Callithrix jacchus: one gene and its partner. The protein of the gene in region 1 binds, or shares a complex with, the protein of each later gene. Links are inferred from orthologs where the notes say so. Each region holds a gene or a part of one and is shown on either strand. Other genes may lie near its edges. The genes, in order: GABARAPL1 and STBD1.

What was found.
Region 2: the proteins of GABARAPL1 (region 1) and STBD1 are in contact, whole or in part, in a crystal structure (PDB 8X8A), measured with the Homo sapiens proteins. The link is inferred for Callithrix jacchus from reciprocal best matches to the Homo sapiens genes GABARAPL1 and STBD1. Residues at the interface, in NP_113600.1 of Homo sapiens: Glu17, Ile21, Tyr25, Asp27, Arg28, Pro30, Val31, Ile32, Lys46, Lys48, Tyr49, Leu50, Val51, Pro52, Asp54, Leu55, Gly58, Gln59, Phe62, Leu63, Arg67, Phe104; in NP_003934.1 of Homo sapiens: Glu201, Glu202, Trp203, Glu204, Met205, Val206, Pro207, Arg208, His209, Ser210, Gly213.

What each region holds. Positions count from the first base shown.
Region 1 is NC_133510.1:12,779,867-12,784,332, reverse strand, and holds the start of GABARAPL1 (gamma-aminobutyric acid receptor-associated protein-like 1), read left to right. Parts: upstream 1-1,567; 5' UTR 1,568-1,827; coding exon 1,828-1,917; exon of another isoform or gene 1,918-2,358; intron 2,359-2,794; exon of another isoform or gene 2,795-3,160; intron 3,161-4,466. UniProt on the Homo sapiens protein: Ubiquitin-like modifier that increases cell-surface expression of kappa-type opioid receptor through facilitating anterograde intracellular trafficking of the receptor. Involved in formation of autophagosomal vacuoles.
Region 2 is NC_133504.1:121,770,648-121,775,232, reverse strand, and holds the start of STBD1 (starch-binding domain-containing protein 1), read left to right. Parts: upstream 1-1,727; 5' UTR 1,728-1,764; coding exon 1,765-1,984; intron 1,985-3,867; coding exon 3,868-4,585. UniProt on the Homo sapiens protein: Acts as a cargo receptor for glycogen. Delivers its cargo to an autophagic pathway called glycophagy, resulting in the transport of glycogen to lysosomes.

The DNA of each region.
Region 1 (4,466 bases):
TTTTTTTTTTTTTTTTTTGTATTTTTAGTAGAGAAGGGGTTTCGCGGTGTTAGCCAGGCTGGTCTCGAACTCCTGACCTCAGGTGATCCGCCTGCCTTGCCTCCCAAAGTGCTGGGATTACAGGCTTTAGCCACCGTGCCCTGCCCTTATGGATTTTAATACATAAGGATTGAAAGATGCCGTGGGGAAGTGGGACTATATGATACATTTTCCTGTGCCAGTAATGTAACTTAGTTTCTTTTACTTTCAGAGTACGTGTTTCATTTTTATTTATTTATTGTTTTTGAGACAAAGTCTCGTTCTTTCCCCAGGCTGGAGTGCAGTGACCGCCTCGCGGGTTCAAGGGATTCTCCAGCCTTCAAGGGATTCCCCAGTAGCGGGGACTACAGCGGTGCCCATGCCTGGCTAATTTTTGTATTTTTTTTTGTAGAGACAGTGTTCTGCCATGGTACCCAGGCTGGTCTTGAACTCCTCAGCTCAAGCGATCCTCCGTATAGGCCTCCCAGAATGCTGAGAGTACAGGTGTGAGCCACCACGCCCGGCCCCCTGTGGGTGTGTTTTTTAAAATTAGAGACACTGCGACCCGGATTGAAGAAGATAGGCCATGGGGCTTCTGTGTCTAACATTTTTCAGAATTCACCCGACTTGTGTGGGCAAAGCAGTCCCTTTTCACTGTTCTTTTTTACAATCTCCACAGCACTCCCTTCGCTGCCTACAGTACTGGTTGGAAGGCCTCTGTCGTTTGACTCTCGGTGGTTAAAGCCAGAACGAGGCTTCACCGCACCTGCCCCAATGCTCAGTCTGCCACTAGCATTCCAGGCGGCGCTTTCTAGTCACGTGAGGGATACCCAACCACTAGAAATAAGATGTGGGGGAACTGAGATCATCACCTAAATTGCTTGATACTTTCTTTTCCAGAAGACACGCCCTCCTTCTGGATTAATGGCAGAAAGTGAATCATTTCTATATTTGATTGTACGTGAAGCCCTCGGTAGTCCTTACTGACATCACGTCTCCTCTGGACATTGATTACGCTCCGTGTCCTTCACCTGACATCTCTTCAGATTCCTGAGTCACGCTCTGTTTATGTTGCTGTTCCAGGAGCGAACCACGGCGCGGATCCAAACAGTGACGTCAGCGCCGGAGGAGCGGCAGCGGAACGCGCAGAGGGCACGGTGCAAGCACGGGACAGCTCTGCATTGGCCAAAGGGATCCCAGGAGGCCTGGCCCTCTGTTCCCCCGAGGGTGGATCCCAACCAGCAGAGACAGGCTGGATTTTTGCCTTTTGTATTTGTTCCGGGGCCCAACCAACAAAAACAGTGGAGGGGGAAGAAAACATGTTTAGAATATTTTTTTTGTTTTAAAACCGTATTTAATTTCACGGTTACAAAATAAAACACAACTAGAATGTTTTGATGTTTGCAATGACATCGATTTTAAACAAGGTTAGCCAGAAAGCAAAAGCAGTGAGGCAGAGCTGTCGGCCTCCTCCCGCCTTCGGCGCCTGGCGCGCGGGGGCGTGGCGTGGCGCGCGGGGTGACGTCACAGGCCGACGCTCCGCCCGGCTGTTTTTGTGCTTCCAGCTCTTCGAAAAAGCCGCTGGTATTTCTCCACCTGGCTCTCCTTTACCTCCAGGCAGGCGCACCCGAGGTCCCCCTCCTTTTCCCCCACCGCGCACTCGGCCCAGCGCTGTTGCCCCAGGAGCGGACGTTTCTGCAGCTGTTCTGAGTACACCTTGACGTCGGCGGAGGGAGCAGGACGCGGCCAACTGTCAGCTGCGAAGGAGGCAGGCCCCGCGCGGGGATCTAGCAAGCCCTGCGGTGCATTATGAAGTTCCAGTACAAGGAGGACCATCCCTTCGAGTATCGGAAAAAGGAAGGAGAAAAGATTCGGAAGAAATATCCGGACAGGGTCCCCGTGAGTGTAGAGCAGTGGGGGGATGGGACAGGAGGGCCCGCGGGGGCGGGGGCGGGGAGTAGCGTTGGCTGCCCTGGGGCGCCCAGGCCGCTCTGGAGAAGGTGGGGGGGGGGTTCCATGAATTACTTAATCCTGAAAGCTCTTCAGTGCCAGAGCCAATGGACGTCCAGACTGCGGAGCTTTTAAAACCTGTATGCCAGCAGCCTGAATCCCACTTTAGAGCTGACGGCGTTTTTGGAGCCGAGCCGCCGTCTGCAGTGACTCAGCAGTATTGAGACGTGTGTGGGTTGAGGGGTGCACAAAATAGGGCCCCTGTGTGCGAGAGTGGTGAGGTCGGGGCCATGGATTGGCTGCCTTTAAGAACGCAGGGACATTGTGCTCTGCCGTGAGGTTTGCCCCGGTCGATTTCTGCCTTGGTTGGTTCCCCTTTAATGAAGTTGACTTTCTCTCTCATATCGTTGGGCTTGGGAGGAAAAGGTTCAGAAGCCATTCGGTGCTTTTCTTGCATTCTCTCAGAATTACAGGGGGGTGGGGGAGCACAGGACAGTCCTGGCCTGGAAAACAAGGTCACGTTCTCTGCGCAACAGCCCGCTTGCCTCATCGTTCTAGGCTCCGGGGCATGTGTGGAGACAGCTATCCTTCCCCGGTATCGATTTCTGATCACATGGTACCTGGACGCGATAAGGCAGGACTGAGACTCCTTTTCTCTGTTTTGGACACCGGCTTAAGTAGTTAAAACCAGCACAGGTAGTGAGGAGGAACGGAGAAAAATAATTAGGTATCTTCCAGCATCCGGGCGTTTTCCCCAGTCCTCCCCCCCCCCCCCCCCCCCGTAATTCTGAGAGAATGCAAGAAAAGCACCGAATGGCTTCTGAACCTTTTCCTCCCAAGCCCACTTGCCTGGTGTTTCTCTAATGTAGGCTGCGATGCCAAATTGAAGGCCAGAATATGACTTTTAAGTGGTAGAGGGACCAGCAACTGTTGGATTTTGGAAATGGAGTAGCGGAGATTTTACGGTGATCTTCATGTGGGGACATTAGTGTTACAAGTCACATAATGGTAAAACAATTGCTGTTATCTGGTGTCTTTTCTTGATTCACAGCCACTCTGGGTTTCTTCTTTAATCCTTACCTAACATTCATGGTTTTATAGCTACCAGAAGCCGCCAGCGCCTTAGCCCAGCAGTACAAACCTCTTGTACCTCTTTTCCTTAAAGGAAAAAAAAAAAAAAAAAAAAAGTCATTAGGGCTCTTCCATTCCCCAGGAATTACAAAAGGGTTTTCAGCTTATAAAGGAATGTGCAAAACCCTTAGCCAGTAAAGGATCCTTTACGAATTACTTTCCTGGTTTCTGGACCTTGGATACCTGCTGTGAAAGTTTCGCCCAGTTTTGGTGATGCCAGTCTTACTTTTGAGTAATGATATTTAAAAATGACAGCCAAGTTTTATTGATAGTTTACCCTAGCATTATTGTATCAGTCTGTAATCATTCACTTAATCCTTACACGATTATAATCCCGGTTCTACAGATGGAGTGTTCAAAGCATAAAGAAATGCAGTAACTTCCTAAAGGTTTCACGTTGCTGATCTGTGGTTGAGCCGGAATTCCACCCCGTCTGATGGACTGTGGAGCTCTCGGAGACCTTAACCTCCATGCCATATATCTCAATTTCTAATATAGCTGTATTAACCAGAATTAGTGATGTACTGTGGACTTTACATTGTTAAGTATTAGATAAATATTTTAGTGATTTATGTGTATTCACTCTGAATATTTCAGTGAATTCTCTTCTTTTCCTGCTCATATTTTCGTGTTAAATGTTTTGCTTCTGTGATAATTTTTAAGCCATTAAGACTGTCACTCGGATTTCAGCTTTCCTAGGGTTATGTTTTAACCAGTGGTGAGCTGTTCTCAAAGTGCTTTGTCTGTGACCTTCTTTCTAGTTATGACGCAGGTTCCTTGATTTGGTTCTGGTTCTGGGAATTCATTGCATCCTTGGGCAGAACTCTTAATCTTGTGGTGCTAGAGTGCCTTGTTTACAGAAAAGAGGGTTATAGTAATGACTCCTAAAGCCCATTCCCACTTGACCATTGTTATTAAAGCAATGGCGTATCCTGACTGCTCTCATAACCAGAGCTTACCCCCACCAATATTTCTTCAGAGCTCACGTTGGAAAGAATAGGTGTACTTGTGCCTTCGGAGAGCAAGGGTTGATGGGATCTTGAAATTATCTTCATAGATACAACATACAAAAAAACTGTTAGGAACAGATTGTCTTCTTAAAAATTCATAACCCTACTGAGTATGAGTCACATTTTACAAATGAGGAAAACAGACCCAAAGAGGCAAAGCATCTAGCCCAGGGGTCTACCATACTGAGGAATAGAATTGGGATTCCTGGAAACTTAACCTTGGTTCTGTGAAACCAAGGTTTTAATGATTACCCTTCCCTTTCTCTTCCTCTCCTAGCCCCTCCCTCCCATCCAGGTATTGCAATCTGATTTATCACTTTTTTTCTGTCTTCCTTTGTGGTTTTTAATCTCTTACTG
Region 2 (4,585 bases), on another chromosome or scaffold:
TGCTAATGAGAACACTGGAGCAGGGGAAGGATATAGGGAGTAGGATTATAATGAACACTGGGATTGTCAAGGAAGGTCTAGGGGGCGGTGCAGATGACACTGGTACCAAGACCTGAAGGGGATGAGAGAGAGAGGTCTGTAGGAAGGATGACTCCAGGCAAGGAAGCCAGTGTGGCTGGATGTGACAAGATGGAGGTGAGCACACAGTGGTCATGGGGAACAGACCCTGTAGGGTTTTTCCTTGTGATGGAGCAACTGGAGGGTGTTGAGCAGAGACCTGGGGTGTTTTAACAGGCTCAGGCTGACCGCTGGTTTGAAAGCAGTGGGTAGTAGTAGCTGGCTGTGTTTTGCTTTGCAGCAATGGGAAGGATGTGGTCACCACTTCTTGAGATGGGGAAGGTAGGGAGAGGAATAAGTTTAGGGAGGAAGGTGGGGAGTCCAGGTCTGTATAAGTCGGGTTTGAGATGTCTATTAGACACCCACAAGGCGATGCCTAGTTGGCAGTCTTTGCCCTCACTTCTCCTCTACCCCCTCCCTTATGATTGCCAAAGTTGTAGTTGTGACCTTCATCAAGGCAGCTTTGGCCCTCCAGTAACCTCACTGGCACAGCATTGCACCGGGTTAAGGGCTACTGTCCTTTCGGAGCAAGGGGCACATTTGATAATTTGTCCTATCAGAGACAGCAATCTAATAATTATTCCAAGGCGGGCTGGCTGTTGAATGTCGGAGTCCAAGAAAAGAGGTGTGAGCTGCAGACATAGACGTGGGGATCATCAGCTTGAAGCTGTTGTGCAAAGTCATCAGATCCGCAGAGGAACGGATTTACAAAGAAATGTATATAACAGCGCACGGGGTTGTTGTCTTGTGAGGATTAAATACATACATAAAACATATGGAATACAGACAGTGCTTAATAAAGAGCTGCTGTTTTTATTAACAAACTTATCTGTAGGCACTCGTCCATGGACAACATCCAGGTCAGACAGTCGGGCGCGCATTTCGCACCATCCATACACGCCCAAGGAGGATGAGACTGGATGTGGTTGGGCTGACTGGCATCTTTAGATAGACGGTCCTCTGTCCAGTCCTTTCATTTTGCAGGCGGGAAGGCAGAGGCTTGGGGAGGCTAAGCGCGGCGAGCTGGTGGCGGAGTGGAGCTTCCACTAGGGCTCCCAGTTTCCCCTCACCTTGCCCCGGTCCTCCCGGCCACCCACCCCATCCGAACGCGCCACCTCTTCAGCCCGCGCCCAGGCCCGCGCGTCACCGACGTCCGCGGCCTCTCCCACCTCTAAGTTCCAGGAAGCTCTCGGCCTTTAGCTGGCCGCGCTGCTGCTAAGCTTTCCTGGGGTGGAGGCGCCGAGGTGCCCGGCCCGGGGCGAGGCCTTGAGGGCAGCGGGCGGGAGAAGGAAGTGCGGTGGGGCAGGTCTTGGCTGCGCGCAGTGCGCACTTGGGTTCTTCACGCGGGACACACGTGGAACGCCGCCCCCTGCGACCCCGGCCGCTAGCAACTGGCAGGGCGGAGAACAGAAGATGGAAGAGCGTTCCAGTCTCCGCCCGGAGGGAGCCCGGGTCTGCAGCCTGGGGGCGGGGAGCGGGGCGGGGCCGGGAAAGTTGAGTACCGGTCGCGCTGGGCCGGGCTCCGCCGGAGCGCCCGCCGCAGGAACCGTAAAAGGCTGGAGCGGGCGGGGTAGGTGTGGCTCTGCTTGCGTGACCTGAGCCCCAGCCCCAGTCCTCGTCGTCTCCCGCGGCCGCGGCCTCTCAGCCATGGGCGCCGTCTGGTCCGCTCTGCTGGTCGGAGGGGGTCTGGCCGGAGCGCTTTTCGTTTGGCTGCTGCGGGGCGGCTCTGGGGACACTGGGAAGGACGGGGACGCTGAGCAGGAGAAGGACGCCCCTCTTGGGGGAGCTGCGGCTCCGGGAGGTGATCAGAGTGGCAGCAGCGGACTGAGCCCTGGACCTTCCAGGCAGGAGCTGGTCACCAAATCAGGTATTCTTCACTCCTGTGACTCCAGGGCACATCTGCCATAGCTTTGAGGTTCATCGAGGAAGGAAGGAAAGAGGCAAATCTACCTAGAGCTTTCCTAGGGGCCCATTCCTGCGGAGGGCTCCCCTAAGGGGTCTGGGCCATCCCCACGCCCCTCGGTTTCCCAGGCTAGTTGGTAGCGCAGGCAGGTTTTTTGGTTGGTCCTCCAAGGGCCGCGCCCTGCCGAGTCTCTCAGCGCCCGCGCCTGCGGACTTGGTTCTGCCCCTCCGGCGGGGATAAGCTCCGCCACTTGGCGGCGCTTGGTGCAGTGCGGGCGGCTGCCGTGGCGGCGCCCCTTCCCGGCCTTTGGAAAAGAGGGCTTAGATTTGGGGGGGATCCTACAAGCCTCTTCAAACTCTGCCCAAGCCGGGACATTTTCTCAGTCCTGATCCGGGTAGTCTCACATCCTCCCATCGCACAACCCATGGAAGAGCTGGATTTGGGAACACCCGAGCTGCGGGCGCCTCGTGCTGTCTGGACGCTTCTTCAGGAAGGCAAAGTTCAGGTTGGACTCTGGCCATGAAGGCCATGGCTGAGGCCCTGGGGCTGTGCTTGGTGACCGGTTTCAGCACTGTCGGCAGTTCCCCCCACCCCCCTCCCACTGCCCCAGAACAGGGCCAGGTGGCCATCCCTGGGAAGGGACTACTTAAATAGGAGTCCCAGCTCTGATGAGTAGAACCGGTATCTAGGTTTAAATTTCTGTATTTTAGGGACCGTTTGCTAAGCAGAGAGCGAACACTGGCAGAAAAACCTTACCTTCCAGTGCCCTCCCGTGGCAAGCGGCCCTTGCCTGGACAGAAGCTTAATGGTGAAAATGACATCTGTGAACTTTATTTTTAGCCCAGTGGTGTTCATGTGCAGCTATATGAAAATCTGCCCGTGTGCCCTTAGTATGATTGGTCGGGGATGCCTAGACAGTTCACTTATCTTTTTGTTTTTCCTGAAGGCCAATCTCATGCTTTAGGTTGAAAAGTTGGGAATCCATAGTAATATTTGTTCACTCTCACTTCCAACTCCACCATTAAAACGAGATAAACAAGACTATTGTCCCCATGCCCTCCCCCCCGCCCCACCCCATAAAACCACAGCTGTGCTAATTGTATGTACGATTTGGAGATTTCAGTCTTGTTTGGACTACCAATGGGGTGGTCAAGAAGGAAACCACATTTTTAGAGGACTTGGATTTTGTATTTTTAAGAACATTTTTTTAAAAAGTGCTTACAGTGGGAGGGGGTACAAAACACTGTTTTGCTGAGGAGGTTCCGAATGAATATGGGATTGGCAAGGAGAAACCAGCCCCTTCCCCCACTCCACTCCTGCATCCCAGGCATGCACTACTGTCCTTCGTATCTCCCCACAGTGACAGCTCCTGCTGATCTGCCCACAGATCTGTGAGAGCCAATCCCTGCCCTGCACGCCTCCCCTGAGAGTATAAGTGTACTCTTCCGGTTTGTAAGGTGGCCACGCAGCCTTTTGCCCCACAGCCTGGACATTCTTTGATGATAGGAGCCAAGCAACTTAACTTGGCTGCATGCCAGTATGGCCTGGACTGTGGACACCAGGGGCCATGACAGGGTTACACGTCTGCCTCTAGAGCTTACCATTTCATTTACACTTGTGCTGGCACACTGATTCTCCTGGATGTGCCTTTTATTGTCAGATATACATGTGTATTCTTAGAGCACAGTGTTGGTTAATGAAGCTGTACTTGATTTTAATAGAGGAGGACTTTGTGAATTGCAGATTGACTAGTAGTGAACCTTTCAGTAACCAAATTATTTTCTCAACCTAACTTTTTTCTTACACGAACTACCTGACTCTATTACATTTTTCCTTTTATTTCTTAGAGCATCTTCAAGAAAGCAATGGACATTTGATTTCTAAGACCAAAGACCTTGGTAGCTTGCAGGCAGCAGCATGCAGATTGCAGAATCCTTCCAGGGAAGTCTGTGACAATTCAAGAGAACATGTTCCTTCTGGACAGTTTCCAGACACAGATGCTCCAGCTACTTCTGAGACTGGTAACTCTAGGAGTCACTCTGAAGTTTCAAGAAATGAAAGCCTTGAATCTCCTATGAGAGAATGGGGATTCCAAAAAGGACGAGAGACATCTGCTAAAGCAGCTACATGTTTTGCAGAGAAGTTGCCTTCTAGCAACCTGCTCACGAACAGAGCTAAAGAAGAAATGAGCCTCTCTCATTTGAACAGTCAGGACCGGGTTGACCACGAGGAGTGGGAAATGGTGTCTAGGCACTCGTCTTGGGGGGATGTTGGCAGTCTTGAGGCTCCAGTGTTAAGCCCAAAACAGGGAATGGACAATGGAAGAAGCACTCTGGTGGAAGCAAGAGGTTGGCAATTGCATGGGAAAACAGAAAAGGTAGCAGTGATGCCTGCGGGGTCTCAGCAAGTTAGTGTCAGGTTCCAGGTCCATTATATCACAAGCACTGATGTGCAATTCATTGCAATAACTGGAGACCATGAGTGTCTTGGGAGATGGAACACATACATCCCACTCTCCTATAGCAAGGATGGGTTCTGGTCTCATTCCATTTTCCTGCCTGCAGA